4 linked regions of the Lepisosteus oculatus genome follow. The protein of the gene in region 1 purifies or fractionates together with the protein of each later gene. This does not show direct contact. Links are inferred from orthologs where the notes say so. Each region holds a gene or a part of one and is shown on either strand. Other genes may lie near its edges. The genes, in order: nck1a, git2a, wipf2b and wasb.

What was found.
Region 2: the proteins of nck1a (region 1) and git2a purify together in Homo sapiens (co-immunoprecipitation; 3 studies listed by BioGRID and IntAct, with this or other methods). This does not show direct contact. The link is inferred for Lepisosteus oculatus from reciprocal best matches to the Homo sapiens genes NCK1 and GIT2.
Region 3: the proteins of nck1a (region 1) and wipf2b purify together in Homo sapiens (co-immunoprecipitation; 3 studies listed by BioGRID and IntAct, with this or other methods). This does not show direct contact. The link is inferred for Lepisosteus oculatus from reciprocal best matches to the Homo sapiens genes NCK1 and WIPF2.
Region 4: the proteins of nck1a (region 1) and wasb purify together in Homo sapiens (affinity purification with western blotting; 4 studies listed by BioGRID and IntAct, with this or other methods). This does not show direct contact. The link is inferred for Lepisosteus oculatus from reciprocal best matches to the Homo sapiens genes NCK1 and WAS.

What each region holds. Positions count from the first base shown.
Region 1 is NC_090708.1:14,744,889-14,752,725, forward strand, and holds the start of nck1a (SH2/SH3 adapter protein NCK1), read left to right. Parts: upstream 1-4,820; 5' UTR 4,821-4,976; intron 4,977-7,837. UniProt on the Homo sapiens protein: Adapter protein which associates with tyrosine-phosphorylated growth factor receptors, such as KDR and PDGFRB, or their cellular substrates. Maintains low levels of EIF2S1 phosphorylation by promoting its dephosphorylation by PP1.
Region 2 is NC_090717.1:5,720,708-5,728,422, forward strand, and holds the start of git2a (ARF GTPase-activating protein GIT2a), read left to right. Parts: upstream 1-4,586; 5' UTR 4,587-4,834; coding exon 4,835-4,886; intron 4,887-7,715. Other genes in the region: ankrd13a (ankyrin repeat domain-containing protein 13A), read right to left, coding at 511-556, 1,089-1,213, 2,758-2,893, 3,697-3,789. UniProt on the Homo sapiens protein: GTPase-activating protein for ADP ribosylation factor family members, including ARF1.
Region 3 is NC_090723.1:9,664,439-9,672,115, forward strand, and holds the start of wipf2b (WAS/WASL-interacting protein family member 2b), read left to right. Parts: upstream 1-4,429; 5' UTR 4,430-4,982; intron 4,983-5,001; exon of another isoform or gene 5,002-5,347; intron 5,348-7,677. UniProt on the Homo sapiens protein: Plays an active role in the formation of cell surface protrusions downstream of activated PDGFB receptors. Plays an important role in actin-microspike formation through cooperation with WASL.
Region 4 is NC_090697.1:77,233,953-77,241,693, forward strand, and holds the start of wasb (WASP actin nucleation promoting factor b), read left to right. Parts: upstream 1-4,570; 5' UTR 4,571-4,765; coding exon 4,766-4,873; intron 4,874-7,741. Other genes in the region: slc38a5b (sodium-coupled neutral amino acid transporter 5b), read left to right, coding at 1,212-1,316. UniProt on the Homo sapiens protein: Effector protein for Rho-type GTPases that regulates actin filament reorganization via its interaction with the Arp2/3 complex. Important for efficient actin polymerization. Possible regulator of lymphocyte and platelet function.

The sequences.
Region 1 (7,837 bases):
AAAACTAGAACATAAAATCATTCACAGGTAAAGTATTCCCCATAATGAAGCATTAAGCTACAAATTTCAATGCAATAATACAGTGAGCTCCAACGCATTCTGATGATTTTAATTGTATTATTTAGTTTGGCTTTACTTACATGACATTTATTTCCCAGTGGAATGGCAAATACCACAGCCACAGAAAGATAGATACATTTTGATCCCAGACAGATTTTGGTAACTTTACATAGAATTGAACATAGAGGTGTAGTGACATTAAACATGCTTTCAATTACAAGAATCACAACATGAAGGCTATTCTATTTCATGAGTTAAATTAAACTCAATTAAACTTCACAAATGATATGCAGCATCACTATACCTCAGCCATGGAAAACATGTATATTTTGAAACATGTATATAAATAATACATTTAACAAATAAATAATATCCATCTACCAGTTCCTAACCGCTCTTTCTAATTCAGTGTCACAAGGGAGCTGGAGCCTACTGTATGTTTATATTTAATCTTGTTTTGGTTTACAGTGTTATTTCAGTTTACTAGAAATAGTCCCTACTAGTATTTACAAAAAGGGAATCTCAAAATAACACTGTAAATTAAAACGAGCAGTTGTATTATCTTCTGATATAAAATACTGTATATCCTTATTAGAAGTCTCTTTAAATAGTTCTGCTTTCCAACATTGTGAAATTAATATTTACATTTCCAAACTTTCCTAACAATTTAGTATAAATTCCAATGAGAGACAGTATCCCAAAATGGGCACATACCAACACTTAAAGCTAACCTCAATGTGAATATCTTCCTCTTCTAATTTAATAGTTGAGAAACTGTAAGACTAGTATTAGTCAGAGGTTTATCGTTTTCATAACCCTAATTCAACTCAAACCCCAAAATTCACCTCAATGTCTGCTTCTCTCTCTTTAATTTGAAACCAAAATTCACATCCAAGACAGAAAATGCCATATAACCATGAAGAATTTAGTTTGTGTTTTGCTGAAATTGACTTTTAGTTTTCGGGAGAATATCACTGGAGTAAGTAAGAACAATATTGAAGTCCAATGTGGGTAAGGCTTCAAATATTATTTGTTACAGGGCTAGTTTTACATTTTTATAGTTAGACTACTATATACTGTTAGACTGTCATTGAAGTAGTATTTGTACTTTAACTTTCATTATTTACTATATATACTGTACAGAATAAGTAGCATTTTGATTCTGCCTATAATTTTTGAATTTTTGGGAAAGATTTAGTATTGCATCCAGTGAGTGCCAGTAACTCAAAATGGGCACATACCAAACTTTAAAGCTAACCTCTATCTGTATATCATACTTTCCTAATTTCAGCACTGGAGACACAGTTTTACTGACAGCCTTATGGTTCTCCGAACCCTAGCCCTTAACCCTAATTCAGCCCATATTCCAAAACTCACCTCATTGCCTTCACAACTTTGAGATTCATTTCAGATCACAATTCACATCACATTATTGGAGAATATCAGTGGAGTCCAGTGAAAGTAAGTGAAATCCAAAGTAATTAAGGCGTCACATATTATTTCAAACTTGGGTAGTTCTACTTTTTTACAAAAAGACCAAAGACCTTAGATTTTGTATTTTGTATATGGGATATTTGTGCAGCATTAAGAAGTACTCAGACATAACATTCACAATATTGTATTCCTAGTTTGACGTTTTGGGATATACTGTATTTTGTATTACACCCAATGACAGCCAGTAAGTGAAATGGGGTCAATAAAAATGATTGAAGACAAGCTGAAAGTGGACATAACACTCTCTTCCTTTTAGTATTTAAGATTACCGACAAAGAAGTATGTGTGCTTTAACTACGATTTGTTGTTAGTTGAGTTATTTGCTTTATTTTGGTCCTATGTAGACATTTTGGGTGACATTCTTGCTTTAAAAAACATCATGAGCCTGAAAGTTGCTTCATATTAAAGAGATAAAGAGATATACAAACTTAAATAAAATGTTTCATTGTATAAATGGTTGACAGTAATCTCCACACCATGTTTTATAGGAAAATATATTTCAGGAATCAAACACTTAAGAAAGAAAAACCTGAACAACAATTCATCTCTTTTTTTGAAGCAATGACTTACAACAGACAAAAAACAGTTTCTGTGTTTTGAAATGAGCAGCAGGTTTTTAGAAACAAGTTGTATTTCCCAAACCTGACACTAACAGTATCAAAACAAACAGCTGGTTATCCCTACATTGATACTGATTCAGCTTTTGCATTCCATGTCATGTTACATTTTGATATATTGCTCATAGAAAAAGAAAAAGTTTAACAAAACAAATTAGATATGACTGGAAATGAGACATTTCTTGTATCCCACTTGATGTAAAAGCGTCCATTTTAGTGGGCTGGTGGTGAAAAACATTGTGTCACATTAGGGACCATTAAATGTCACCACGCTTCTTGAAAATGGCAATTATAAAGCAATCAAAGTTTTTTTCTACTCATTAGTGGTACTAGATTAGACACCAAAGACGTTTTGCAATATGAAATACATTATTATCATTAGACAACATTCTAAGGAACAGGACACAATCCATAGATGTTATCGTATGGTATGGTAATTTCCTTTCCCAGTTAAATGCAGCATCAGAATAAATAAACTAAGCCTTGTTTTTAAAATAAACCTTATTTGTTTTTTATGTAGAAATTAAATGTTTATCTCTGTATAAGTGCTTTTCCATTTTGCTTCTGTTACCAAAATAAACAAAAAAACATTCTGAACATCAACCCAAACAGCAAGACCTTATGATTAAGGTTTCAGTAAAACAGTAACAACCTTCTGCTGAGCACTCTAAAGTATTTGAATCGGCTTTCTAATAACACTGACTCAGTAAAGGCATCTGAAAGGTCTTTGCAATATGTTTTTACAATATTCTACCATCATCTATCTCCTGCAGTTAAATTCATGTTGGTTTGGTGTAGCACAGAACAGACTTGAAACATGATATCTGTGGGACTAACGGGTTCTGATTTTATATTGTAATGATCGAAGGATGAAATCGTTTTTTAGAAATTCGCTTTCAAGTTCATTGTCTGTTTTCTCCTATTATAGTAACCACAAAATCCTGACAAATCTCCTGAACAAGCTTTGATAAGTTATCATTGTGCAGAATCCATCAGGTTTTCAGCTTTGCTACTTACTTAGGAATGCTTCATATAGGCTGTACAATGTACTGGGAGTCATTAATAGTACTGTGGGTAAGGGTGGGAGCTTCACAGAATTAACTTCAAGCCCACCCTTTACATTTGAAGAAAAATAAGAACAACCAAACAAAATCTAACTGGCAGTTAATACTGTCTTAAGCAATGGAAAACCACCCACTATAATACATTGCAATATGATCCAACAGTAGATAGTTTGAGATTTCAGTCTGCTAAGTGTACAAACTAGCCAGTAATCAAGGCCATTATGACTGAATATTACCAGTCAGCCTCTTCTGAAGACATCTGTTTTTGAATTAAATATATCCCATGGTATCTGTTAGCAAATGTCCTTAAGATAATTGTGTCGCGTTCTTGTATTTTTTTTAATTTTTCTCTGCATTATTAAATGTCATTGTTGGCAGACTCTATGAGCTGCTTGCTAAGCCTAAAACAGAATTAGGTCATCACACAGAATTCATTGAAAACAGAGGATTAAGCAATGTGGCATCAATCAAGTGAATAGTCACTATTGATACAGTGAGCACTGGATCTTAAAATGCAGTGTTTTACGTCGTTCATCTTCAGTGCCTGTAGAATAAAACACACAGCAGACGCGTCCCTTTCTTATAGAAAGACGGCAGTGAGAGCGACCCCCGTTGCTATCGTTATATTAATTACATAACAAATTAGGACAACTACAGGTACAGAGCGAATTGTTATCTACTTGAATTTCACCAGTAAAACGACAAACCTGCTAATCTGTACGAGTTATCGAATTATTAACATTGCACAGATCTCAATACTAATACAGTACATACTGTATACACCCATTTATGTTAAAAAAAGCTTAGTGAAATACAGGATCACGGTGGACCATGTGTTTATAAAACATAGATAAGACTTTATTTATCCCGAAGCGAAATTGATGTCAAAACATGTATTTCGCTAATAACTGTCCTACCCAAACTGTCTGATTTTCCCATATTGCTCTGCCAAATGATTAAACAGTATGTACTTTCCCATAAAACACAGTACTACTCCAAATATAGCATGGATCTCGATACTTGAGGAATACATTCTAAACCTTTGTGTCTCTCAAGGTTATGTTTTGCGAAGGACCTCTTGTCATCACTAAAAGTGCTCTTTTGAAATCAATACTTTTTTTTAAATTTCTCCGCCTGGTCATCGGTGGTGGCATCCCTACTAAAAGCAAAGGGGTTAACACATAAAAAAAAAGAGTGCAGTCAGACAATGACGTGACAAGTTTCGGGGGGAAAAAAGTTACAGCCCCGTATTCACTAAATCATGATCAATGTGTCGGACTCAAAATCGTTTTTTTTTTCCCAGTGCAGAGCTGTATCGCAACATTATTTGCCGATACAACGTTCACCCTCTCCAGCGGGGATCCCGCAGTAACACGGGATCTACAGCGGCTTCTCCATGTCTAGGCTGTTGCTTGCAGACAGTAGAACTTGCTACAGTACCTACCTTATTCTGCAGCCTCCCTGCACAAGCTGGGCGCACATGACAGACGGGGCGCTTGTCCAATGAAAAGAGGACGTCAGCCAAAACAGCCAATCGAAGGCAGCACGGGAAGGCCTCTGGAAACAAGTTAGATTGCAGAGAACATTGACTGTTGTGTGGAGTAAGAGTGCCGAGACGTACTGGTGCAAGAGGAGTATTGATATTGGTCAGACGTGTTTGTGTACGCTTACGCGTTTTATTGAGAATTTGTGTCTTTTGGTATTTGAAATTCGGGAACTGGCTCTGATCCCCCGGGCTCAGGTAGGAAGTTGAAATGAGTAATTTTTTTTTAATAAAAATCTTTGTTTTGATTTAGATGTCAACGTCTTGTGTTGTAGAACGCTATCTGCTACAGATGGAAACTTGTGTAACTTTATATTGTATTAAAACCAGAAAATACAGGAGATACAAAATTGCTTTTTGCTATTTTTTGTCGGTCTTAAGAGAGATACGATTTCCCGTGTGAAATGTGTATTTCATGTGCAGATGTTAAGGAATTAACAAGTTGGTGAAGTTATAATGCGCTGATTTATTTGAAAATGGAACAATCAACAATACATTTCTCAAAATTGAACTAATGGTTTTGTTGGATTACAACTCCTTTTTGTTTCTTTTTGGACTTAAACGAATTTTCTTTTCACAAGACGATGGGTGCTTTGACTGTGTTATCCACGACGACGAGAGGTGACGTTTTAGTCCTGTTTGCTTTCGGGGAAAATAACAGTCCTGCAAACCTCGTTACTGCTCTCCACGTCTCCAGCGAATTACGGACGCGGCTCTGTAGAATGGGGATAAATAGGTATCATTGTGGTACCTTTTATGCACAAGGCTTAATTGGAAAAAAAACTGCTGTTCAAAAGTAATAAAGCCGAAAATGTTGGTTTTGAAAAAAAAAAGCAGTTTCGAACAAAGCAAAGCACATTCTGCCGGGCAGATTACCAATTGAGTTTCCCCCCCACCCCCCTCGATCCTGGTTCGTGGCTTTGTCCTAAGTTAGTTCGGAAAGTCGGAGGTTGAAGGAAAGAAAAAAAAAGGATTTTGGCTGCTTTGCATTCTACGTTTTGCTACTGATTCAGTAGAAATAGAAAAGGTCTTAACGAATTATGCACAATTTTTCTAAGAGAGAATATCGGTGACCTTACTGTATACCGTATAATCTTAATGGGAATGCTTTTATCTGCTTGGTTTGTTTGAAATCGTTTGTCGAGCTGCCTACACAGATTCAAAGTGTTTTGAAAAAGTCTCTTTATACTAAAGACTGTTTCACTGCAATTGCATGAGAATGGCAGGGATATCTGCTGTGTTTCTATGGCTTTTGCCCTTCCTGCTATTAACCTCTACTGTTTATAAAACAAACCAAAAACCTAGCAAGGCCATCAAACATCCCCCAGTCCGACATCTGCTGTAAACAACAAAATGTGGGAATCTGAGGAAGGAATAACATCTCCCATGTATAGTGTTATAGCTCTTTCACGATTAAAACGCTGTGTCATTTAACATTTGGACCTGCTGTGCTGGACCTGCCTGAAATATGTGAGTTAACTGTGAACTCCAGATTGTTATCTTTAGAAACCTAATGTTGGTTGACATTTAGTCTAAAGTACCGAAATCCATCTGAGGCCAGTCCCATGATGTTGAGCCTTTGAAAATCACTGCGAGCAAAACCTTTGTTTTGTTCAAAACAAGATGGACTGTATGCTAGGGAAACAGCTAATGGTAAGGAAACAGTCCAGTATTACAGTAATGACAGAATGATCTGATAATACAGCGACTTGCTTATATATTTCTTTCTTGATAATGTATAAATCCAATCTGTGTCATGTTCAGTGCTTTATCATTGGTCTGGATTTCCGGTTATAGATGTTGCCAAAGATTATGGTATGGGTTTTTTTCATTTGAATGGGTGTCAGAATGGGAGTGATTTCCTCCACAGAATGCACACGTCATGAGATCGTTGCTTGACAATCGGATGCCAGAAGATGAAGGAGTTTATTTTTGTTTTAATAATGAGAATACATGCTGGCTAACGTTAACACGCTAGTGATTAACCTTAATTAATAATGTTAAATGCTTAAAGGCTGTGGAGAATCTGTAATAAAAAAATGTGGTCACTGTTTCTGCTTCTAATCGCTACAGTGGAAAAAATATTGCAGTTTATGCCTTCATATGTCTTCTGCTGAATAACGCAACAGTAGAAGCCAGAAGTATTTGGCTTTAGTATTCGGCTTCAGATAGTGTGAAACACACTGGTGTATAGCAGGAACAGTAGGAATGTCTTTATGTGGTAACAAATAAACAGTTTAAAAACTGTTCAGGAATTAAGCTATAACATTTTACAATACTCGAAAAAGCATAATGCTCCCAATGTAAAAGAAACAATATGATTGATTCTTTCACATTTTTTGTTTCATTGCCTGCAGCAGAGATCACTTTTCTATCTGCACATCATAGTGTTTGGTGAGCTGAGCAACATGTTTATTTTAAGTTCATGTCTCTTGAATTCTCATGAAGTTTCCATCGAAACATTCTGACTTACAGCATTGCACGGCTCCGAATGGCCAAGCTTGGCTCTTAATAAGCAGGCTCATCTCCATGAGATCTAAATGATTTGCAAATCGCTATCCCCTTTGCTTAATAAGGCTTACGGTGGTGATATATCACCAATACTTGAAAAGTATTTTATAAATCATTTTGAGAAAATTTGTGATTTTCAGCAGCTAGCATTTGATCATTTGATTTATTCAGCAAACTGATTACGCTGGTTTTTGGCTTCAACCTTTTGATGTCTCTTGTTGGTAAACATCACCTTCTAGTAAACTGGGATATATTCTAAGTGAATGTATCAAACCATAGTTGTATACAGTTATCATCTTTTAGTGCGTTTTGATTTTTAAAAAATGACTACATGAACTAGGCTTTGTGTTTGTCTTTGTGTATTTAATTTTCTGTTCTTTTACTTATGTTTCATAGAATTCTTCAATGAATAAGAGTTTAGTAAGTTAGGCTTAATCCTTCATCATGCTGAGTCATGCATATACTGTAGCTGAAGTTTCTAGTTTCTGTAGCGTTATTCAAATAGAGAGTACAAGACTATCTGGATGGGATGTTAGTTCTTTGCAGCA
Region 2 (7,715 bases), on another chromosome or scaffold:
TTTAAATATGTGCAAAGCTTTCCTATATTCACATTCTCATCAGTCTACGGGTATTCAAAGAGAAAATTAGCTCATAGATAATAAATACTTATCGCAGATTAAAGTTCAACAGGAAGTATACAGCATCCATCAATTTTCAGTGACTGCTTTGCCCTCATACGCTCCCAGCGAGATAACCAGCATAAGGCAGCACGAACAGGGAGAAAAGGACTATACCCTAGACAGCACACAAGTCCATCGCAGGGTACACACATACTGTACACCCAGACGTCAGTTTGTCTTGGGTCTGTGAGAGTAAACCAGAGCACCTGCTGAAAACCCAATGGGCCAGTGAAGAGTGTGCAAACTCTACACAGGTAGCACTCCAGGTTCTGTAGGAATACAGAACCCAGGAGCTGACAACACCACTGTGATGCATCTTTCTTTCTCAACAAGCCTAACAGAAATACAAAGAGAGCCCTAAATATACCCAAAGGCAATGTTGGCGCTTTAGCAATGTGATTAACTTACTCCAGCTCGTAAACTCCCACTTCATTTCCATGTAGAAATCAGGAGACTAAAAATAAAAATACACATTAGTTGGTCACAGAGTGTTCAGGATATCATAGTTTTAAACATATAGGTCCTACAGGGGTCTACACATTTTCTGAAAGCATTACCTAAACAATACTGTCATTACAAAATATTCCAAGAATAGACGTTCCTTCTTCGTTTGTTCCTGATTTATCAGGTCTTCATTATAAAGCCCACAGGTAGTACAGAAAAGATATTAAAACTGCTGATATATGGAAAAACCCTGTAACAGCAGAGAAGTGATTTTTAGCAGCTGTGAAAAATGTACAGCTGCTTTCAGACAGTACCTTATTCCCAATAACATTCTGAAAAACACTAAAAATGTCCCCTTTCATAACAGTGCTAAACTACGTCTAATTAGTAGATTTCCCTGCATGAAACTCGGCTGCATCTTGGGAAGAGTTAATGGATAGGTACCACAGGACAGGGAAACAGCATATATATGAGGAAGCACTGAGGTTTTTTTAAGCTGTGGTTCACTGCTGATGAAGTGACGGGCAGTGTGAGTGTCGCACCTCGTGGATCTTGCACAGAAGCTCTGGGACTCCTGCCAGGGCAGTGGAGGCCTTGAGGTAGTCTCTCCTCTGCAGGACCAGCTGCACCATCTCTGGGTCCCCGGTGCTCACTGCCTCCTGCAGCACTGCCAGTACGGCACAGCCATGCACAGACACAAGAGGAGCACCGCAGACTGTAAGTGCTGAGCTCATTTACAAACCTTCAGTTACATCATTATAATACCCTAACGCTAATGTAGCTCTTTTCTAGACACTCTGCTCAAAATGCTTTACAGGTAATGCGGACTCCCCCCCACTAATGTGCAGCCCCCACCTGGATGATGCAACAGGCAGCCATAGTGTGCCAGAACGCTCACCGCATGTCAGCTGTCAGTGGGGAGGAGAGCAGAGTGATGGCTTCATCAAGTTCAGAAATGGGGATTATTACGCCATGATTGGTAAAGGCCAGGGGGAAATTTGGCCAGGACACCAGGTTTACGCTGGGATTTTTAATGACCACGAGGAATCAGGATCTCAATTTCACGTCTCCTCTGAAGGACGGCGCCTTTTTTGTAATAAAGTGTCCCGCACGCTATACTGTGGCATTAGGACACACTCAGATTGCAGGGTGAACACACCCTACAGGTCCCACTAACACCTCTTCCAGCAGCAACCTTAGTTTTTCCCAGGAGGTCTCCCATCCGGGTACTGACCAGGCTCACACCTGCTGAGCTCCAGTGGGCCGCCCGCTGTGAGTTGCAGGGGGATAAACCTGCTGGCAATAATTCAATGAATTCAGTCAATTCGCACCTTAAAACGCCCAGATGACAATCCCCCTGCAGAGGTCCATCCTCTGCAGGGGGATTGTGTAGACTATTTATTTTCTAGCCGCTTCTTCCTTTTCAGGGTTGTGGGGGAGCTGGAGCCCATGCTGGCCAGCAACGGGCACAAGGCCGGGTACACCAGTCCATTGCAGCACCCACACAGACACAGACACATTCATGCCAGGGCCAGTTCTCCCAGAAGCCAATCAACCCGCCAGCTTGTCTTTGAGCACCCAGTGAACACCCATGTGAACATGGAAAGAGCATGCAAACTCCACACAGACAGCACCCCAGGTCTGAGTTGAGGCCATGGCTCCAGAGCAGTGAGGTAGCAATGCTTAACCAGACCCTCAAACAAAAGCCCTCGTGCTTAATTTCAGCTCAATTGCACGCTATGTGCAAACCCAGAGATATTTTGTGATGCATGTTTGTTTGCGGAAAATGTCAGTGTATTAATTATTGTTGTAGCTGTTATAGCTGCTCTTTTAATTTAGCAATTGGAAAGCCTAGTTTGGTCTGCATCTCACTTGGATCTATTAATTACAGCAAGTGTCTGCCAATATGTGGGGGCTGATTCTAATAGCAAGCGTAACGCGTCAGCAATTCCTTTCAGACCAACTGATGCAAATGACTACTTATTTATTGCTGGTATTTCCTGTACCACATTGCAAGCATGAAAAAAGAAAACTATGATTGAAGAGGAGAGTGTGCAATTTATTTGAAGATCAAATATCAGGAGTGTCCCATTATGTTTATGGGTTTCCAATCCACAATCAATCACATGGTATAAGTTCACACCAGCTCCACCCCCTGTTAAAACCTAGAGATGTTCCGGCGCTCTAAGAATAACTCGGGGGTTCTCTCACCTGTCCAGCCCTTAGCGTTCTCTTTGGTTACTTCGGCACAATGCCTCAGGAGCACTCTTACTGACTCCAGATGCCCCAAAGACACTGCGAGATGCAAGGGTGTACGGCCACGAGGGTCAGGCTCCTCGATATTGTGCTACAAAAAAATAAAAAGTCAATTACTTCTATAAACTTACTAACAAAAAAGCCCCCCCCCCTTGCTCCTCTGAGCACACAATCTCACAATAAATATTCTAACCCAGTGTTGCGAGATAGGAGGCACTGCAGAGGAGGAAATATCCTTCCACAACGTTTCTGTAAAACCGCAAGATTTAGACACAGGCATTGTTTTGTAAAAAAAAACACATTTATACATCACTTATAATTAATGCATGAATATTATTCAGTGAAATAAACCTGACAGATCAGACCTATTCGTTTCACTTTCAGACGAAAACTTAATACTACAACTACTAACCCTGCCAAACTAGAGGAATCATTGTAGAAAATAACAATTGAACTTAATTTTTCACAACAGCCCGTATACACTACAGTTCCACCAAACGGCCAAACTGTGTGTGGGAATATTACAGATTCAAAACTTAGATCACTGCGTATCTCTCGGCTTCAATTAATAGAAAAGTCGTCAAGCAATGTTACATCCATCAAGCCAAGATGATCTCGTCTTGGACACAGATGGACTCTTCTCTCAGAAACAACAGCGCAGTACACATCAGGCGCACATTTTGGTCAAGGCTGCTGCTAAAACCCACAGTGTTCAAATGACGAGGAAATCGATTATTATTTTTTTGCAAGGCTAAAACTAAGTACAAAGGTACTGCAATTGAAGTCGCAAAAGTAAGCGTGCTGAGTTAGTAGCGAGGAAAGGCGATCATCTCACCCAAGTCAGTGCACACTCGCGGTCATTAAAATAAACACGCCACAGCTCTATGTACGTACCTTCGTGATCTCTTTTTCCAATTTTCTATAGTCATTTTCCCAGACTAAAGAATGGAGTGGAAACTTAACCCTGAAGTCTTCGGTGGCGGACATTCCGTAAAGCTGAGTTTTCGCAGAACTGGCATGAAACAATACGCTGATGTCCTATCCCGAGGAAACGTGAGAGAAGACAAAGGCCGTCTCCGCTAGCCAAGGGTGGACGCGTGCATTAAATCACAAAAATACAACTTATACGACGCTAACTTTTCAAAATAAAACTTTTGAAAAACAAGGAAGTGACTGGTAAGGACTATTATGATCTACGTAGGGGTGTCCGCAATAACACAAGTTCGTGTTCAATACAATTCTTAGAAGGTATTTCACTATAACATTGTTAGTTTGTTGTTTTTGGAAGCCATTCTAAAAATCATTTTACTTTTTTTATTCAGAAGATAAAAACGCATATGTGTATAAAATGATTAGTTCCAAAACAAAGGCACTACCATTTTTTACTCAGGGGGAGTTATCACTCAAAGAATTAACAGGTGCCTAAAATATCACATTGAATTGTTACAATTAATTCAACACTAACCTAATACATTTCACAATGTTGCATTTATTTAATGCTTTGAAATATTTGTTTCAGATTTTAACACTCAAAAGATTGTCACATCCTATACACTACGCAACTTACCTAACTGGGAGTGCGGTGTCAGGAGGCGCTTACGTATTTGGAATTGGAGAATACGATTTTATTTACGTTCGTGACCCAGAACTCTGACAGGCGGAGGTGTTTCTTAATAATGTCCTGCCTGACGAAGTCAAGAGCCGTAACTTACGTAGAGTCTTATCTCCGCCATTGCCGGAACGCTAGGAATATTCCGTAGTTTCCGCGCTTGAATGCGAACGGCCTCGGCTACTGTGCGCGTTCACGTTGGTGTAGAGTTTCCGTCCTTAGAATAGCAGCAGCTTCCCGTCTCTGTTGTGTTAAATAAAAGGGAGGCGGAAAAAAGACGAATTATTTTGTGCCCGTCAGGATTTTCTTCTTAGTGTACGTAATAGTGAGGTCGCAGCGGAAACCGCGGATCAGATGAATATAGGAGAATAACTAAAACGTTTAACTGACCTTTAAAAAGGGCCTTTTATTTGGAAAATAAGGATGTCAAAGCGGCTTCGGAACAGCGAGGTCTGTGCCGATTGTAGCGTTCCGGGTAAGTGACAAAAACACCAACAGAGTTGACTTAACAGTCATCATTGTTTCACTAAGAGAGGCAATTTCTGCAGTCATCATGTTAATTGCCTCTTACCCCCTTAGCAAGATATTGCACCCTTTAGTGGTTCGTGTAAAAGTGGCGTTAACCTTCAGGTAGCATCTGTTGAATTGCGAGGTACAGCGCTGGCTTTGTAATTTTTCTAAGAGGTTTTGCAAAACCTGTTGTAATTATGCATACATATAAATGGGATCTGGAAATCGGAAACTGTTGGGTGACTTAAAAAGGGCCGTTCTTTCTGGACGCAGGGATGTAAATGTGTTTTTCCGGTTTGATTTTGTATTACTGCTACTCGTAGGCGATTTGATTTTTGCAGCTGTTAGAATTGCACAGAAAACGTCGTTGTGAAGTCAGAAGGGCTCAGTGCTGTGGGCCGTTTTTGTTCTGATGAACTAATCTCTGGGCTGGAAGCTGGTCTATAGATATGTCAAAGTAGCTATCAAATCAGACTCATATTTGACGAGTGTTGTTGAGCTAATCTTTTGGGTCGGTGAAGTGGCAGGAAAACACAAACTCCATTTACTTGCATTCAAATAAAGAACGTTTCCAAGTATCACTACAAACCGTTAAATACAAATGCTTTGGGGAGGATATCGTTTTCAGAAGCTTGACTAAAGACTAGGTCTTTGGTTACAAATTATGTCTGTGTGTTTATGTGGTGAGAGACAATGACTGACATTTACACCACTGTGAAAATGTTTTGTGCTGTGTTGTTTTGTGTAAAATCCGTGAAGTTGATTCATTGCGCATTGTTACAGTAAGTCATAAAGTGCCTGGAATATGACGTGATTACATTTATGGCCACAAAGTTAAATTCATAGCACAACTGAATTTATTGTGTATCACTACAGATGTTTTTTGAATCTCTACTTTTGGCTGGATGGCAGCTGTGATTGGAAAGTAAAGTAGGCATACAGTAGAGTAGGCAGATTGATGGTGACAACAGGTTGGAATCTGCCCTGTAATTAGTCAGATAGATGCTGAGCTGAAAGGCCGCTGTCCTCTGAGTAACCTCCTACTTGATTTAAGAGAGACTGACAGTACTTTTAAAAGCAGCAAAATGATAAGAATGCTGAAGCAATAATCAGGTTTCATATGTAACATTTGCAGGACTTTGGGAAGATACTGATATTCCTGAAAACAGCTCTGAACCCTTCTCCTTTATCATCAGTCCAATTGAATTCCACCTTATAGGTGTTTTGTTGAAATACCCAGGAAGACAGAATAACAGAAATGTCTTGATAAAAGTAGGCTTTCATTTTTCGTGACCACAGCATTTAAATAGACAACAGACATTAACTTTAGTAATAACCCTGATTCTCACTGGAAATTAAACTAGGATTTCTTAGGTGTAGCCAAAACCAGATTTTTGCTATCTTTTTGACAGTGTACATGACCTAACTTATTATATTCACCCATTGAAACAAAATGTTCTGATCTTGCATGTTTTTGTTTTCAGCCTAACAGAATCGGCCTGTTTGCACACAGCCGTAGACAGACCGACATTTTAAAAAAAAAGTATAAATGGATGCCTTTTGTTTTCTTAGCATGCTGGAAATTTTGAAGAATCTTGAGACCATTCGAAACCAAACTCCCTAAACTGCAGATACTGTAGCAATGCAGAAGTTGTTAGTGAGTGTAGTGTAGGCAGATTTCCCTAAGGCACAGGCTACTTCCCTTTTCTGAATGTTATGGTATAATGTATTAAAAAAACACATTGGAATAAACGCTTGTTGGTAGTATGATTCATAACACACTGCTTCCTTCCAGCTGGTATTAACATGTAGAAGGTCCTGTTGTCTAGTAAATAGTACAGGAAGAACAGGATGCCAAGTAAATGAGCAAGGATCGTGCAGGAGTTGGCTTTTTAATGAATTGGCTTTTATTTTAAAAAAAGTAGTTGCTGCCTAGCTTTCTTGCAAAATCAACAGAAAAATCAGGTGTGATATACAGTAACCGTAAACACAAAGTGGAATTATTCATCTCTTACATCACAGAGGATCTTTCCAGCTATGTGTTGTGGAAATTGTTCTCTGTTTTTAGAGAATAATAAATTTCATGCAGCATGAAATTGTGCATATTTTTCTTTATCTGGAAATGGCCTGGAATTAATTCTATTTAAGCACATCTAACATCAGTACTACAGTACTTTATTTCAATAAGAATCCCTGAGCAGTTGGGGTTAAGGGCCTTGCTCAGGGGCCCAACGGAGTAGGATTCCTCTGCCGGCCGCGGGATTTGAACCGGCAACCTTCCGGCCACAGGCACAGATCCTTAGCCACAGTGCTACCCCTTCGCCCCCATACTGTATGTTCTCTTGTGCAAAGTATCTGATTCCAGGTAGAAGGTAAAATGCTAAATCAAAAGAAATATGAGGACAGAATCTTTTTTAAAAAATGACCAGGTCAGATTCACAAAGTGACTAATTAGGCCTGCTAGCATCTAAATGAGCTCAATTTGCTAAATGGCCTCCTCTCCTGTGTAACCTTTCTTACGTTCTTAAATGTGTGAAAGAGTTTCATGAACCGTATGATCGAGAGCATGGCTGTAGTAAAATGGGAAATGTGTGTTCACATTTTATAGTTTATGGAAACTAATGAAATATTTGCTTGCTTTATTTCAGTGGGCCGACATGTTGTGAATTCGTTGTCACAATGACTAATCATCTTTAAAGGTGTTCCTTTTCTTCATTTTAATTGAAATTCAGCAGAAGACCGCCCCCAAAGACTTTTAAGTTATTCTTTTGAGGTCTGGTCTTACTGAGAAGCC
Region 3 (7,677 bases), on another chromosome or scaffold:
GCCATGGAACTGAACTGTCAGTCTCCTACTGCTGTGCAAGCTAGGCACAGATCTAATTGAATTATCCTCCTGGAGCACAGAAGTTGCAGGGCCAGTATCTCCTGCGACTACAGCTCCCGGTACTGTGCTGTGCAGGCTGAGCCCACCCCGGCAGCCCAAACGCTGAACCGAGCTGGCTGACTGTCGCCCTCTGCTGCACAGGCACTGCAGTGCTGAGAGGGGCATCTGCTCCAACACTGCACTGTCAGTGCTGGCCAGGGTGACGTAGGGTGGCGGAGTATTCTTCTCCAGAGAGATGCAAAGATCCCAGATCCCAGCTACCTTTTCCTAATTTGAATCAGGCACTTACAATGGACAGCTAATGCGGTAGCCATCAGGGGTCCTAAATCGGGAAGCCTCGTATTCGTCCTGTGATGATCTGTGCACACACACTTCCTGGTGCAACCCCTCTGGCTACCGCGTGCTTTGTATCATAGCAACTGTAAATATGTACATAGCAACAGAGATGGAATCTTTATTTTATGTATGAGCAGAGATGGTATATAAAAGAGATTTTTTTTGTACATGTGGCTTTTGATAAAGTCAGAAATGCTAATGGTTTGTACATTAATATCGTAAAAGCAAGGTGTAGAAATTGAAGACTGTATATCATACAAAAAACTTTTTCTCCTTTTTTTGTAAAGAAGTCAGTGTTTACAATCTTCCCTTTAAGCTCAGTGGTGTAAAACACAGGTAAACATGGAGAAGCTGGCAGATTGTCTTCATGTATAAAACGATGATGACCAAAAACCTGACGGTCTTGAGTGTCTGACACTTCGCTCTGAATAAACTGCGTGTGGCGCATCACAAAGATTGGCTTCTGGCCTTTTTCTGGTTCCCATTTAATTCCTAAACTCTCTGACAGCTGCTAGGGTGCTTTTTATTACAGTGATTTTCAAAGCAGTGTGAGACAGAAGCCACTACAGGTTGAGGCTGTCTGGTCTTGCGCTGAGTAGGTCTGTGTCAGGGATGAGACTGAGGCTACACCAGCTTCACAGTCAGGGACAGACTGAGGCGACACCTGCAGCACAGTCAGGGACAGACTGAGGCTACACCAGCAGCACAGTCAGGGACAGACTGAGGTGACACCAGCAGCACAGTCAGGGACAGACTGAGGCGACACCAGCAGCACAGTCAGGGACAGACTGAGGCGACACCAGCAGCACAGTCAGGGACAGACTGAGGCGACACCAGCAGCACAGTCAGAGACAGACTGAGGCGACACCTGCAGCACAGTCAGAGACAGACTGAGGCTACAGCAGCAGCACAGTCAGAGACAGACTGAGGCGACACCTGCAGCACAGTCAGGGACAGACTGAGGCGACACCTGCAGCACAGTCAGGGACAGACTGAGGCGACACCTGCAGCACTGTCAGGGACAGACTGAGGCTACAGCAGCAGCACAGTCAGGGACAGACTGAGGCTACAGCAGCAGCACAGTCAGGGACAGACTGAGGCGACACCTGCAGCACAGTCAGAGACAGACTGAGGCTACAGTAGCAGGCTCTGATGGCTGAATGCAAATATCATCTAGCATGAATAAGATCTAAAGTAATGTGAGGGTTGTGAATTTGCATGGGACTGAGGTAACCATTCATTTTTTATTCCCAGTGTGATGTGTAAAATAAACAATCTGTGGCATTGTGATGTCTTATCTTCTGTGCACAGAAAGGAAGACAAAGCTCTGTCTATGCTCGTTATACTTTGGCACATAACTGCATAGATCTGTAGAAGAGTCTTACCAATCACCACTGCACGGGTTTGCATGGATTCACAATCTCTCACCTTTACAAACCTGGTTACTCAAATCAGAAAGCTTTTTGTCCCAAAGGATCCGAAATTGCTTAACACACAGGAGGGGACCCACTTCACCCCAAGACAGAAACCCACTGGTCCCAAAACATCTCTCACAGCAGCGACTTCAGATTACCTTAGAAGTCTCCAATCCAAAGAGAGACCAGGCCCAGCCTTGCTTAGCCTTCTGAGATCTCCAGGTGGGACTCAGCTGACAATGAGGCTGGAGAGTCTCCAGCAGGCTTGTTAGTTGAGTAAACAGAACAGCACCACGGAACAAAGAGCTGCCCTTTCAGCTGGTTTTGCATGGTATGGAAATTCACACAGACAGCTGAAATGCAAGGCGGACCACAGCCCAGTCAGAGTGAAGGACAGGGGGAGTCAGGGAAGGAGAAAGAGAGCAGGAGGGAAATAGGAAGAGAGATATAGCACTGCTAGAGCACCACAACTCAGACCCAACCACTTCACAGCACAGATCAAACAGTAGGCAGTGGGTGGCTCTGTGGCTCAGGATCTGCACCTGTAGCTCGAAGGTTGCTGGTTCGTATCCCGCAGCCGGCAGAGGAATCCTACTCTGTTGGGCCCCTGAGCAAGGCCCTTAACCCCAACTGCTCCAGGGGTGCTGTATAAATGGCTGACCCTGTGCTCTGACCCCCAGCTTCTCTCCCTGTCTGTGTGTCTCATGGAGAGCAAGCTGGGGTCTGCGAAAAGACAAATTCCTAATGCAAGAAATTGTATATGGTCAATAAAGTTATCTTATATCTCACACACTGGGACACAAACACAACACAAACTGGAATTCTACAGAACCCTAAATAGACAATACACACTAGCCAAACATTTAACCAAGATAAATAAAAGCAAACAGAAACACACCCTGACGGAGTACAGATTCAGTGACCACAGCCTGGCCATATAAGGACCAGACCTGGCTGCCCAGAGAGGACAGGCTGTGCTCCCACTGCCAGCGGGGAGAAATATAGACAGAGGTGCACTTCCTACTGCACTGTGACAGATACTCTAGGAGTAGAGAAACATTCTTCCCCAAATTGACACATCTTATCCCAGAATTCCCACACCTCCGTTGAACTGGCAGCCCAGTATGTGATCTCCTGTCCCAGCCTGAGGAACAGTGAGCCTGTCTCCCGATAATGCTCCATATGTTTATATGTAAATATCTTATGATTGTGGCTTTATTGTAAATGTCTGTAGGTTTTGGTTTTTGTTAATTTTATTTGTTTTGCTTTGGCAACACTGAGTGTACTCATCAGTCATGCCAATAAAGTACCTTGAATTGAACTGAATTATTGACTGTGTCTGCTGAGGCAACCCTGTAAATTTACCGGTCGTGCCAATAAAGCTGTTTGAATTTGCACGGGGTGGGGCAGGGAAGAAAAGGAAAATGGAAGGAATGAGGGAGGAGAGAGGAACAGGATATGCAGCCGTATCACCCTGCAACTCACAACTGGCAGCCCACTGAAGCTAAGTATGAGCCTGGTCAGTACCTGGATGGGAGACCTGGGAAAAACTAAGGTTGCTGCTGGAAGCGGTGTTAGTGGGGCCAGCAGGGGGCGCTCACCCCGCAGTCTGTGTGGGTCCTAATGCCCCAGAATAGTGACGGGGACTCTATACTGTAAACAGGCACCGTCCTTCGGGTGAGATGTAAAACCGAGGTCCTGACTCTCTGTGGTCATTAAAAATTCCAGGGTGTTTCTTGAAAAGAGTAGGGGTGTAACCCCGGCGTCCTGGCCAAATTTCCCATTGGCCCTTACCAATCATGGCCTCCTAATAATCCCCATCTCTGAACTGGCTTCATCACTCTGCTCTCCTCCCCACTGAGAGCTGGTGTGTGGGGAGCGTTCTGGCGCACTATGGCTGCCGTCGCATCATCCAGGTGGGGCTGCACATTGGTGGTGATGGAGGGGATCCCCATTACCTGTAAAGTGCTTTGAGTGGAGTGTCCAGAAAAGTGCGATATAAGTGTAAGCAATTATTATTATAACAGGAGGAATAAGTAAAACAGAGAAGGAGATGCAAGAGGGAGAGAATGAGACTATGAAGGCGACAGAGTGCGGCACAGAGCCTGACAGTGTCCAGTGGGGGACACTGGGGTGATATAAACCAAAGATCACAACCTCACCTACTGGGAAAAACTGGACCTCTGCTGGCTTCAAAAATAACAGAACACACTGGCCAAGTGTCTGACCAGTGTCAGAGACAACAAGCAGAAACAGACACTGATGAGTGACCACAGCCCAGACATAGCCTGCCCTGTCTGCCTGTCTCGCTCAGTTCCTGTGCTCCCAGTGCCAGCATGAAGGAACAGCGAGCCAAACACACATTCGGCCGTATTTCAAGATTTCCTCCTGGACTGGAAACACATTATGCTTCAAAACAGCAACTGTACAGAAATGAATGTTATATTTGTAACCATTACATGAATAAAACCAGGATGAAACAAAACCTTCGAGTGACAAAATAATGCAAAATAAAAGAAACCGCTGTCGTTATCGTAAACGCGTGTGTTGTGACCTCACCAACATGGCTGCACCCCCTCCCCTTATGGGCTCGTGTTTTTGTCGTCATCACCGCCCCGCGCAGGCGCTCTCGGCCGCGCCCGGCGTTCGGCGACTCTCGTCAACCTTCGGCTCTCGCCGGGACGGTTCGGTCCCCCCCCCTCCACCTCCACATATTTATTTGAAATCGGCTCCCTTCCTCCATTTTGTTATGCAGGAGATTCCATTTCCGGGTTTTCCACCGGAGGAGCGACACAGTGTGCGGGAGAGGAGACCGACGGGGCCGCGAAACGCAGGAACGGAGCAGAGGAAGAAAACAGGGCCCGTTGTGAACCGAGCGAGGGGGCAGGGAAACCGGGGACCGACGGCGAGTCACTGAGGCCGCGGTGACCAGCGGCTCCGCAGGCTCAGCTCGGCTCAGCCAGCCCGCGGTCCAGACTCTCAGGCCGAGTGCGGCTCCCCAACCTCACCGGGCCTCCAGCGCGGGGGAGCAGGTGAAATCTTCCCCCCCAGCCCCGGGGCACAATGCCCCTGTGTTAGCCTGCGGGTCTGCGGGCCGCCCGGCGCCCCCCCCTGTCGGTGTGCTTGCGGACAGCGGACGGGAGAGACTCCGCCGCCGAAGCCGCAGGAGAGGTAAGGGAGGCGGGCAGCCGCCGCCGGACTGGGAGGGGGGCAGGCACGGAGGTGCGTGAATCTCCTACCCACGCGTGTGCGAGACACACGGGGGGCGGGTCGCCGTGTCGGTTATACCTGTTCTTGAAGCAGCTCAGGTGGGCAGCTGCGTCAGCATGCGTAGGCTGCAGAGGAGCAAGTCCTAGGTTTATTCCCACCCGAAGAAGGCTCCACGGCCGAAACGTTGTGTTTTCTTTCTTCTTTTATCAGCGTGGAATAAACCTGTTACTTGTTCCTGTACCTGTTTTCTGTTGTTTCCTTGTTCTCTGGGCCACTGCCAGAGCCCAGCCAGCCCCGCTCCCTCTGATGATCAATAAGAGCTGATTGTGAGTAACAGGGTGATCGATACCGGCCACGGCAGGTGTGGCGGCGTGGGTGTTTTTTTTTCCCCCAAAGGAGACGTGAGAAAGCGGGGTCGGTTCGGCCCGGCTCCGGTTCGGCCGGTTCCCCGGGTGTCGGGTCGCTGTTTTTGTGACTACAGCTGCTCGCATTCCTGCTTGTGCAACATCCCGGTGCGTGACTGCAGGCTGAGTCGCGGTAACATATTTCCTTTTTACCTATTTTAATTCTCGCTCAGGTGTGAGCAACCAGCCCCCCTTTTCGCTGATCGTGGGTGGTGGGGACCCCCGTGTCACCTCCACTCCGTGTTGGCTTCGCCGTGGGTTTCTGTCCCCGCAGTTATTTCCGTGGTTCAGTAACACGCCAAAGTGCTTTTGCTAAAAAGCTCTCATTTTAATTTGCCTCCGCGACTATGAACTCCGAGTAGGGGGTTTGGGGGTCCTGCGCTAGAGGTGGAGGGGTGATGGGTAAGTGAACAAGGTGACAGGTTTTGTTACTTCGTGATCGCGGGTGGCCGGGGGCAGTCCGGTTGAGTCACACTCATCAGAGCGCACTGCCCAGCAGGAGGGAGATACTGTCCAAATGAATGTGCCGAGGAGCACAGCGCAGACAGGTGTGTTCGCTGTCATCAGGGTAAGGGACTTGGGGAGAGGCTTGCGTAGGTGGACTGAGGCACACTGAGCACAGATGGCTCCTCGCAGGTGAACAGACAGGGTGACCATATCTCCCCACGACCACTAGGGCACTGAGACGGGATCAGTTTGTTGTTTTTTTTTACCTGGAAGATTCGATCTGGTTAATAGCCCGTTTGCTGGGGGAGTTTGGGATCTTTCATTGCGGTGTGTGACAAACGAGGAACGCGCTTAATCATGAGGAAGACCTGTGGAAAGGCTGAAAGTCGGAGAGAGGTCATTCTGGACCTCTGAAGTGTTTGGCGGCCTGCAGTTCGTTGAGTCCCAGGGTCTTTTGAGCAACAGCTGGATGAGAACCGGTCCAAGAACAGCTGGGCAGCTTGATCCGCCCCCCTCTGGGTGTACAGTAGAGCCCCCTGTGCTGACTGGAGGATTTCACCCAGCTGTGTCTGGAGAGAAGCCAGTGTATCGGCTTCAACAACACTAACAATCAGCACGTTTCCCGCTCCCACCACCCTCTGCGTAAAGAGCCTCCTGCTCCCTCCCGAGACTGCGGGCTCGTGTTTTGGTGCCGGTGAAGAAGGGCAGAGGGCCGACTTTGGGAGCTTAAGCGCTTTTTCCTGCTGACGATCAGTTTCCCCTGTGACGAGATGCAGAACTGAAACCGCGTTTTAATTCTCGGAAGAAAAATGTTGGTTTCAGCATTCGGGACTGCAGAATGAATCTGTAATCTGTGGTTCCGTGACTGTCACAGTGGCGTCATAGTCTGCTTCTTACCTTCTGGTGGCTGGGGAAACGCATCACTGGCAGCTTCTCCCCCAGTTGGATGGGATGGAGGGACGAGCTGCCATTCACTGAGAGGCATGCGAAACGCCTTTGTCGCACCGCACTGAGGCCTCCAGATTTCGTACAAGTGTGTCACAGTTGAAAGTCTGTCAGTGTGGGGAGCAGGGTGAGGATTGGCGGGGTGTCGTGGTCGCCCTACGCAGAGATGTTCTGTGACGCTCCCAGAATACGTCTCGACTGGTGCCAGGAAAATTGCCCTTCCCTGAGCCGCACTGCTGTCCTGCGACGTGCCGGCCTGGTGAGTCTCTAATCTCCTGTGCACCGGTGACGGCCGGCTCTGAGCGAGAACAGATCGAGGCAGCTGTGTCATGTTGTGCCAGGCAGCGGAGAGTGGAATCGTAGATGCCCGGTTTTATTTAGGTTTTGGTTATCTCTGCAGGCACAACAAGGCCAAAGGTACCCTCTTCCCCGCAGGGCTCTCTGCGGCCATTCCTGCCTTGGTGCTGCCTTTGCTCTCCATTGGGATCAACTGGACTGTCGGTAAAAAAAAGTTTGGCATGATTTGTGTGTACACAATACACAAAAATACACATCCCCTCTGTCCTTGGCGGTTGTGCTGAAAATGTAGTGACTTGACGGTAGGGGTCCTTGCCTCAGGATGCTGAGCGACACTTCGGCCCAGCCTGCGCTGGTTCCGTGGGGCCAGGGTCTATGGAAACGGGATCTGTCTGCGAACACCTGTTTTATGTCTCAAGTGCAACTGCGTGCCCTGCGGAAACTGCTGCAGGTCTACTGAAACACCCGCAGTACTATCTGAAAGCACTCCCAAAACAGGCAGCTCCCTTCACAGCTGAGCTCTCTTCCACCCGATAACGAGGAGTGTGACGGACGGTGTCGGG
Region 4 (7,741 bases), on another chromosome or scaffold:
GACCCGGGTCTCCGAGAGAGACCCGGTGTGGAGCAGCTTCACATGGGCGTTTTCCTGTGATCACAAACTGCTGCTATCCCACCAGCTTTCATGCTCGTACCTGTTTATGATGGCTGGCCTCTAGTGGACAGTAAGCTGCAGCCTTGCACTAGGCAATGGCAGTATGCTCATATCGATACCAGCTGTCTCCTCCACAATCTAGAATTGTTCTCACTGTGCCCCCCTCCCCCATCTCGGGACTGACAGGTGCTCATCGCCTGGAGGATTCTGCCATCAGCAGCACCAGGGGGGAGGGCGCCCCCCCCTCTAAATGGTGCTGAGCCACTTCTGTATCTCGGGCTCCCCACTTCGCCGGGCTCCCCACGTCCCGACGAGTCCCTGTCCCAGTCAGTGCCGCTTCTCCAGTGGCTCCGTGTAGCGTCAGTCACGCGCTGCCCCAGGCGCTGGAGCGCATCTCTGGCTCTCCACCACGGACCTGCTGGACAAAGACAGGGGTTTTACCATGCCGTGAATAGCTGGAAGGGATTTCCCTTCCTCTGACTGGAGGTGAAATCTCACACCTATGTGTCCTTGTGGCTTGGTGTTATATAAGCTGTTCAGACTTGCTGGCTGGGCAGGATGGTATCACACCGCTGGGAGGAAAGACGTGGCTGGCCATACGGATGATGCTTCTGAGACTGTGCCCGTGTTTCTGCAGGGCTAAGCAGCTGACTGGTCTCCTGAATTTTGCCCCAGTATGAGACAGTGGGTGCTCTTAGGTGACAAACCAGGTGCCATGAAACACTTTTTGCAGCACAAAAATCTGCACGAGACACACAGGGGTTAGGGGCTCGACTAGTGCTGATTAATAATAACTGCATTTCCTGTATATTGCTTGTGTCGTTGTGCAAAAGGCCAGACCTCATTGCGTTTTTTTTCCATACTGTACGTGAGGCTTCTCAAGGGCCTTTGAGGAAAAAGCTGCAGCCTGAAGCAGCTCTTTCACTGTCGAGCCCACAGAAGCTGCCGCTGCACAGACCGCGGTGAGAAACACCAGTTGCGAATGTGTGTTTCTGTTCCGCTGAAGGGGAAATGCTCGCTGCTTGAAAGTGAAACCGGAAGCCTGCTGCAGAGACATGTTAGAAGTGTAAAAATCGCTGAACGCGTTCGGGGCTGCTGCAGCGCCTGTGCGCCCTGACCCTCAGGCCCCTCTTCCCTCTGTGTCGCCGCAGGCAGCCTGCTTCGCCGCGCTGGGCTTCATCTTCATGGTGATGAGTCTGTCCTTCATCTTTGTGGACTGGGTGCGGGGGGAGAGCAACAGCCACGGTGGGCACTAGCACCCCTCGACGGCGCCTGGGAAACACAGCGACGTCAGAGACCCCACCTGCCCCCCCCCCCACCTCCCCTGCCCCCACCAGCTCAGCCCCAAGTCCTTCAACTCGCTGGGAAAAAAACTGAAAAGGGCTGGACCACCCGCCACCTGCCCCCACCCTGCCCATCTCAGTGTCCATTTCCCCCCCTCCTTCACGCCAGGCAAGGCTCTCTGCTGCCCCCTTGTGTTCTGGAGGAGGGGCACACACCTCCTCCCCACAGTTCAGGTGGGTGGCGCTTTCTAAAACAGAGAACGGTGTTATAAACTCCTGCAAAACCCCAAGAGAGGTCTGTGGTTCAGGAATTAATAACAGAACAAGTGCACGAGCATCCTAGCCGATGTCGTTCTTGTGCTTGATTGCCAGACTTGTCGGTGAGCGAATCATATCTCTGGACGGTGTTCCTCCCCTCACACTATGGTCAAGAGTCTTAATTCAGCTGTTACTTATTTAACTAAGCTGTTTATTAAAATGGCGACACAGAGTTAAGTTATTTTCCTACGTGACCTTGAAAACAGATCAGCCGTATTCTCCAGGCGGCACGTGTGCTTGGTGCAGAGTAGAGAGGTTCTCTCTGTCTGAGCCTGGGATGGCCGAGCACAGCGAGCTGCACAGCGGTGAGCTCAAGGAGCCTCTAACTGTGACACTCGACCAGCGATCAGACAGCTGCTTCCTGTTACAAGGAAACACAGACAGAAACAGAGATATGTATTTACGTGAACAGTTCCACCTAGCTGAAGCACACTTTACACTCCTGTCAGAGATCCTGTCCTTGTCTGAGAATTCAAGAGCCTGTTCTTTTAGCACAGTTCTATGAAACAGCTCATTAATCTCCATAAATCTCCCAACTCCTTTCTTGGCGCATTTTCTGCCCAAGTGAGACTTCCTGCATCAGTTTCTGAAAACAGACAACACTTCTCGATGAGACAAAATGACATGTACGAGCATTTCAGCTGCATGTGGAGAGTCGTCATCTTAAAGGTCATTTTTTTATGTTATTGCTGTTAGGACAATGGAGCTTCCCAGTGGCTCAGACAGTACAGTGGCTTGTTTGGAGGGCTATAGTCCAGACACCACCAGTGTGACCGCAGACAGTTGCTTGAGGGTTTGTGGGTTTAAGTAAGAGACAATATGTCCCCAGTTCTGAGCACAGCAGTGACCCCTGCTGGTGTCCCTGAGCGGTGACACTGCGAGAGGTCTGCCCATCGTATTTTAACTGATATGCATGGAGGCACTGGGCAGTACTGCCCACCCACCCCCCAGTCCCAGAGAGCCATAGTTCCTCGGGTGTTAGGGTTCACCCTAAAATAATCAATTCCTAAACTTTCGTACACTACGTATGCAGAGGATTCAGGCAATTAAACAGCGCAGAGACCATTTGAAATACAAAACAGCCAAGACCTCCATAGCCCAACGCCCAGAGCTGGCCATTCCTGGCTGAACTCAATCAAGTAATTGGCTCAAGTGGTCGAGACCCACGTGTGTTCCGAGTCCGCCCAGCCTTCTGAGCGCAGAGACCTGGCCACGCCCATCGCTCGCTGTCCGGAAGTCTCGACTCCCTGCGGTCCGGTTTCCAACTTCACCTTCATGTTGCCGAGACCGACTACTACAGTGTTTCGACTGCTTTTATTCGAACAATTGTATCACTCCGTTGCGATGCCTTCTACACCACTCAAACTGTATTTTTAGGAACTGTTTTTTTTACCGAGTCCTCCTGTTAGAGGGCGCAAACCTCCACACACGTAGTTCCAGCAGGGGGCGACACAAAACAACAGGCTGCTGTAAAAAAAAATGAAGTTCGCCAAGAGATCATTTCAGCGCATGCGTTTTCTCCTCTGTGAGTTTAATTTAATCGGTCTGTGAACAGTTACACATCATTTCCTCAGCAGTTAATCGGTTATCGTTATTGATGGCAGCTACAGTAGACACAGGAGACAGGGGCGAACGGTGCAGTGACGTGCAGTGTTTGGCTCATGTTCACAGGAAGTGTGTATCGTACTGATGTCTTGTCCGACAGCACAGAGGTGCGTTCTGATCTTAATAAAGGTGTCACTCCGAGTGGTCCAGCTTGTTTCTGTGTGGTTATTTTATTCCTGAGCTGCTGAGCATTGAAAACTGTTTTTTTTTCCCAGCACAGTTATAATGGGAATAGTTCATATCTGTGTCCAATTTTGCAACGTCAACTGTGAAATAACAACAACAACAATAATGATCATGATAACAATTATCATCATTGTTGTCATAAATATAAATTATGTTGCTCAAACATATAACTCAGACAGATTTTCTGTGTTTTTCAGTGTATTTTTGAGTTTCCCCAGAATTGCGTAAGTGTGAAAGATCATGCAATGCGTGGTTTTCCACAAGCTTGTCACTTGTGTCAAAATGATTGCTGTCAGGTCTTCAACTCTAAAAAAAAAAATTAGCCAGGATATAAAACTGTCACCAGACAAGTTTTAGAGGTTGTTCTGAAGTTTTTTAAAAACTTCATTTTCTGGACTGCTGCCAAAGAAACTCTGGTTCATGTTACTTTCAAAACCAAGCGTTTCTCTTACTGCAGACCAGCTGCTGGCCTTCCTTCAGCGACGTGGGCCAGGTGGCCACACGGCCTCCTCCAGTTTGTGACCAGTCTTGTGCCGCCGTGGCGGCTGGCTCTGCGGGGACGGGGGAGGTGACAGACGTCGCTGGTTTCTCACAGCACATCACTGCCTGCGGCGGAGTGGGAGACTCGCGATTGCAGGAATCGTGCAGGGAAAGCGAACTCCCTCCCTCTCCCCGACTCGGCCCGATGGCCCACAGCTCGTCATTCTGAGCCCCAGAAAGGCACGTTGTTTCAGAATGCCCTTGCTGTTCCCTCAGACTGAAAGGAAAAGCAGAGAGGGGTCTCCCCTGTCACGTTAACAATACCTAACTCGAGGCACATCTTTCCCTGAGCCAGCTGCTCCTGAAATTCCACCAAAAAGCACCCGGGCCGCCAGCAGAGAGAATCCCGCCCGCGTGTTTCGGTGAAGCCTGGCGCAGCCCGTGCGGCCCGCCGTGCCCTCGTGAGCTGCAGGGAATCCCAGGAAAGAAACGGAGAGCATGCAAATCTCCCCTTTCCCTGGCCAGAAAGACACGAAAGACACATCCCCCCCCTTCACGCCGCAGAAAAAAAGAAGAAGTAGCAGAGCTGCTTTTAAACTGTGATCAGCAGTTGGGTGCAGAAGTGTGGTCACCAGCTTCCTGTTCTCTGGCTCCTGCGCAGCTCTGCTCAGAAGGCGAGGCGGAAGCACTCCGAAGCTCTCGGCTGTGGCGCGTGCACCTTCTTCTGTGCTTCTGGGAGCAGGGGAGGCGATTGCGGGCCTAGGATTTTTGGGGTTTCTGCTTTGGGGGGCGGCCCCCCGTGTTTTCTTCAGGGAGCAGCGGGGGTGGACACCATGAGCCGCGGCGCCAAGCCTTCCAAGACGCAGGAGAGCTGCGGCAGCTCCCTGCTCAGCCCCCAGGAGAACGAGCGAGTGTTTGACGTGCTGGGCAGGAAGTGTGTGGTGAGTAGAGCCGGGTCTGTGTGCTGGGGCCCCGGCGGGGCAGCGGGGCGGCGGGGCGGTCGCCCCAGGGCCTGGGGGCAGCTGTGCGGAGGTACGTTGGGCAGCCCTGCGTGAGGGCTGCAGGAGGTAGTCTCCCGGGCCCCGCCAGCGCTCAGCTCCGCTCCGGATGAGTGGCACCCTGGCTGTCTGGACCCGACAGGTGCGAGGGTGCTCGACAGGTGGGGCCGGGTGCGACGGGCGGGCCGCTGCTCGCCAGGGCTGGGGAAGGTCTGAGGAGCGGTGCCCCGCGGGACCGGGCCCCGTGGTTCTGCTCAGCTCTGTTTGAGCCCCAGTCCGGCCGCGTCGCTTTCTCGAGGAGGGAAGTCAGAGCAGCTGCGCTGGGGCGATGCTCCAGCCTTGTGGAGACACAGGGGGACTGTAGACACAGGTCAGGACTGGCTGGCTCCCAGGTGCCCTGTCTGAAGCGCCTTCTGCTGCCCCCAGGTAACGCAGACAAGCCCTTTGCTTTGTAACTGGCACGCACACTCCCATCACGCCTGGTACAGTGCCCCCGCAGTGCCAGCACCCAGCCAGCTCCGATAGCGCTCCTCCATGTTGTGATTGACCTGTTCCCAGAGGAACGAACCTGTCTCACAGGAAAGAGGCTGAGGTCTCAGGGCCGGTCTGATAGGTATCACCTGGGTCTCTGAGAACACTACCAGTAGAGCAGGGGTCAGCTGGTCAGGTGCTGCAAGTACTATGTGGAATTGCTTTTAAAATCAAGAACAGGTGGGTAGTTCTTTATACAAAGAGTTGTGGGAGTGTTGAACAAATCGCCCTGTCATGTTGTTGTAGCCGATACCCTGGTTTCTTTCCAAACAGAGCAGGACGAGATCCTGGGATCAATTAATCTATTACTAACGACCAATCAGGCTGGATGGGCTACATGGCTCTTCCTGTTTCTAGCTCATCTGCAGGTTTCAGCATGGCTCAGCTCCAAACGACTTAACTGGCCCAATCATTTTCTTCAGCACTGTAATGAAGATGCTTTCCTCAGTCATTCAGCTATAGGCTCGGCCTTTTTTTAACCTTCCTATAGGGCCGCAGTGCAGTGGCTGTAAAGCACCCCAGGTCTGAAGGCCCGCAGGTCTTCTGCTGTAGTGTGGCCAAATTAAGGAGCTCGGTTTGCATCAATATTGCATTGTTCTTATCTCTCTTCCTATAATTCCTGTTACGGGCATTTTTCTTCTCTCTTTGTGGCTGTTTCCTCGGGTGCCAAGATAACCCAAAGCTATCGAAGTCGGTCACAGATCTGAGGAAAGGGCTTGTGGGAGCTGAAAGGACAAGGGCTGGCAATCCCACAGTGCTTTGCGCCTTGGTCACACTCTACTGGGAAAGACCTCGCGCGGCGCAAGTCCGCCTGAGGCTGGCTGAGCCGTAGGGCTAGAGGAGCAGTGAGCCGTCGGGGGAATTTTACCGTGAAGTCACCTCACGCGTGAGCCACGTCTTTCGTTCTACACAGTCTGCTGACTCCCCTGCTCCCGGACTTTCTCAAACTCCTTCAGCTCCCCACAACGGTTACAACCCAGGTTAGAAGGACTGCCAGGATCACAGATAACGCGCCGGACCCTGCTGGAACTGCTCGCGAGGAGGCGCCGGGCCGGGCCGGGCCGAGCCGCGGCTGCGCTCCGTGTTTCACGCGGGCCGGGGGGTTGCTGCCGTAAACGAGCGCCACGCGTTTCACAGGCAAGAGGAAACAACGGGAGGCCGGCGGGATGCTGGGAGTTTCATCGCAGCGATTTCCACAGCTGCTGCGTCGCGGGGCAGGGTGCACACACAGAGGAAACAGGGCGTAGTAGCACACCGATGTGTATTTACACTCCCTAGAAGTTCCTGTTTTTTCTTCTTTTAAAGCCCGAGGCCTTCAACACCGTTCTAGGAAACAAGTAACTTTCTGCAGGCCTCTTTGAGCGTCTCTTGTTCTGTCCTGGATTTAAATATCACTCCCGAGACCGTCTGAGTTTGCAGAAAGCGCATGTTAAGTAGCTGCTAGCAGACGGGTAGATAATGAGGAAGTCGACGCGATGATGCTTAATTTGTTTTATTTCTAAAGGGGGAAGCAGGTGAGGTTTAAAACCATTAGACCTTTAATGGCAGTATTTAGGAACTCGGTCACATTCTGTGAAACAGTCCTGCCTTCCTTTCAGTTTTCGTGTTTGTTGTTGCTCATTTGTTGCCCATCGGTCAAGTGGGTGAATCTCACTGGAACGTCCAGCTGCTGGACCTGTTTTGTTAGGGGGAGGAGCTTAAAAGCTGCACAGTGTCCTCAGGCCCATTGGTGGTGTGACACAAATTCTCACCCTTCACTCATTCCCCCCCCTACTCCCGCAGCAGCTCTGAAGAGCCTCTCATATTATTATTTGAGAGGACCACTCTCCGTTTCTCTGTAAAGGAGATCACATTCAGGACTGCAGCTCCAGTCAGTTTCCTCCCCTAGTAGGCTTATTCTCATTCTGGCAGGAGAGGGAATTCTGGGATTTGACTTATTTCAGGGAAAAATGTCTAATCATTGAGCATTTCTTGCAACACAGCAGAACATGCATCTCTGTTTCTGTTTCTCCCTGCTTGTCGTGGAAGCACATTTTACTGGATATTTAATGAAAATGCTTTTTTTCCCCTTGTACTCTTCCTGCTTGATTTGCTGATATTGATAGATTTTTCTGGGATACTGATTTCTAGCAAATCATCAGTGTGCTTCAAGCATAATCTCTTTAAACTGTTGCCATTTTCCACTGATATCAAATCTGTTGCCACCCATCCTACACCCTTAACCGTGTCTCCTTCCCTCAGAGTCTGCTCTCCTGTGGCTGTAGCCTCTGTACAGCTTCA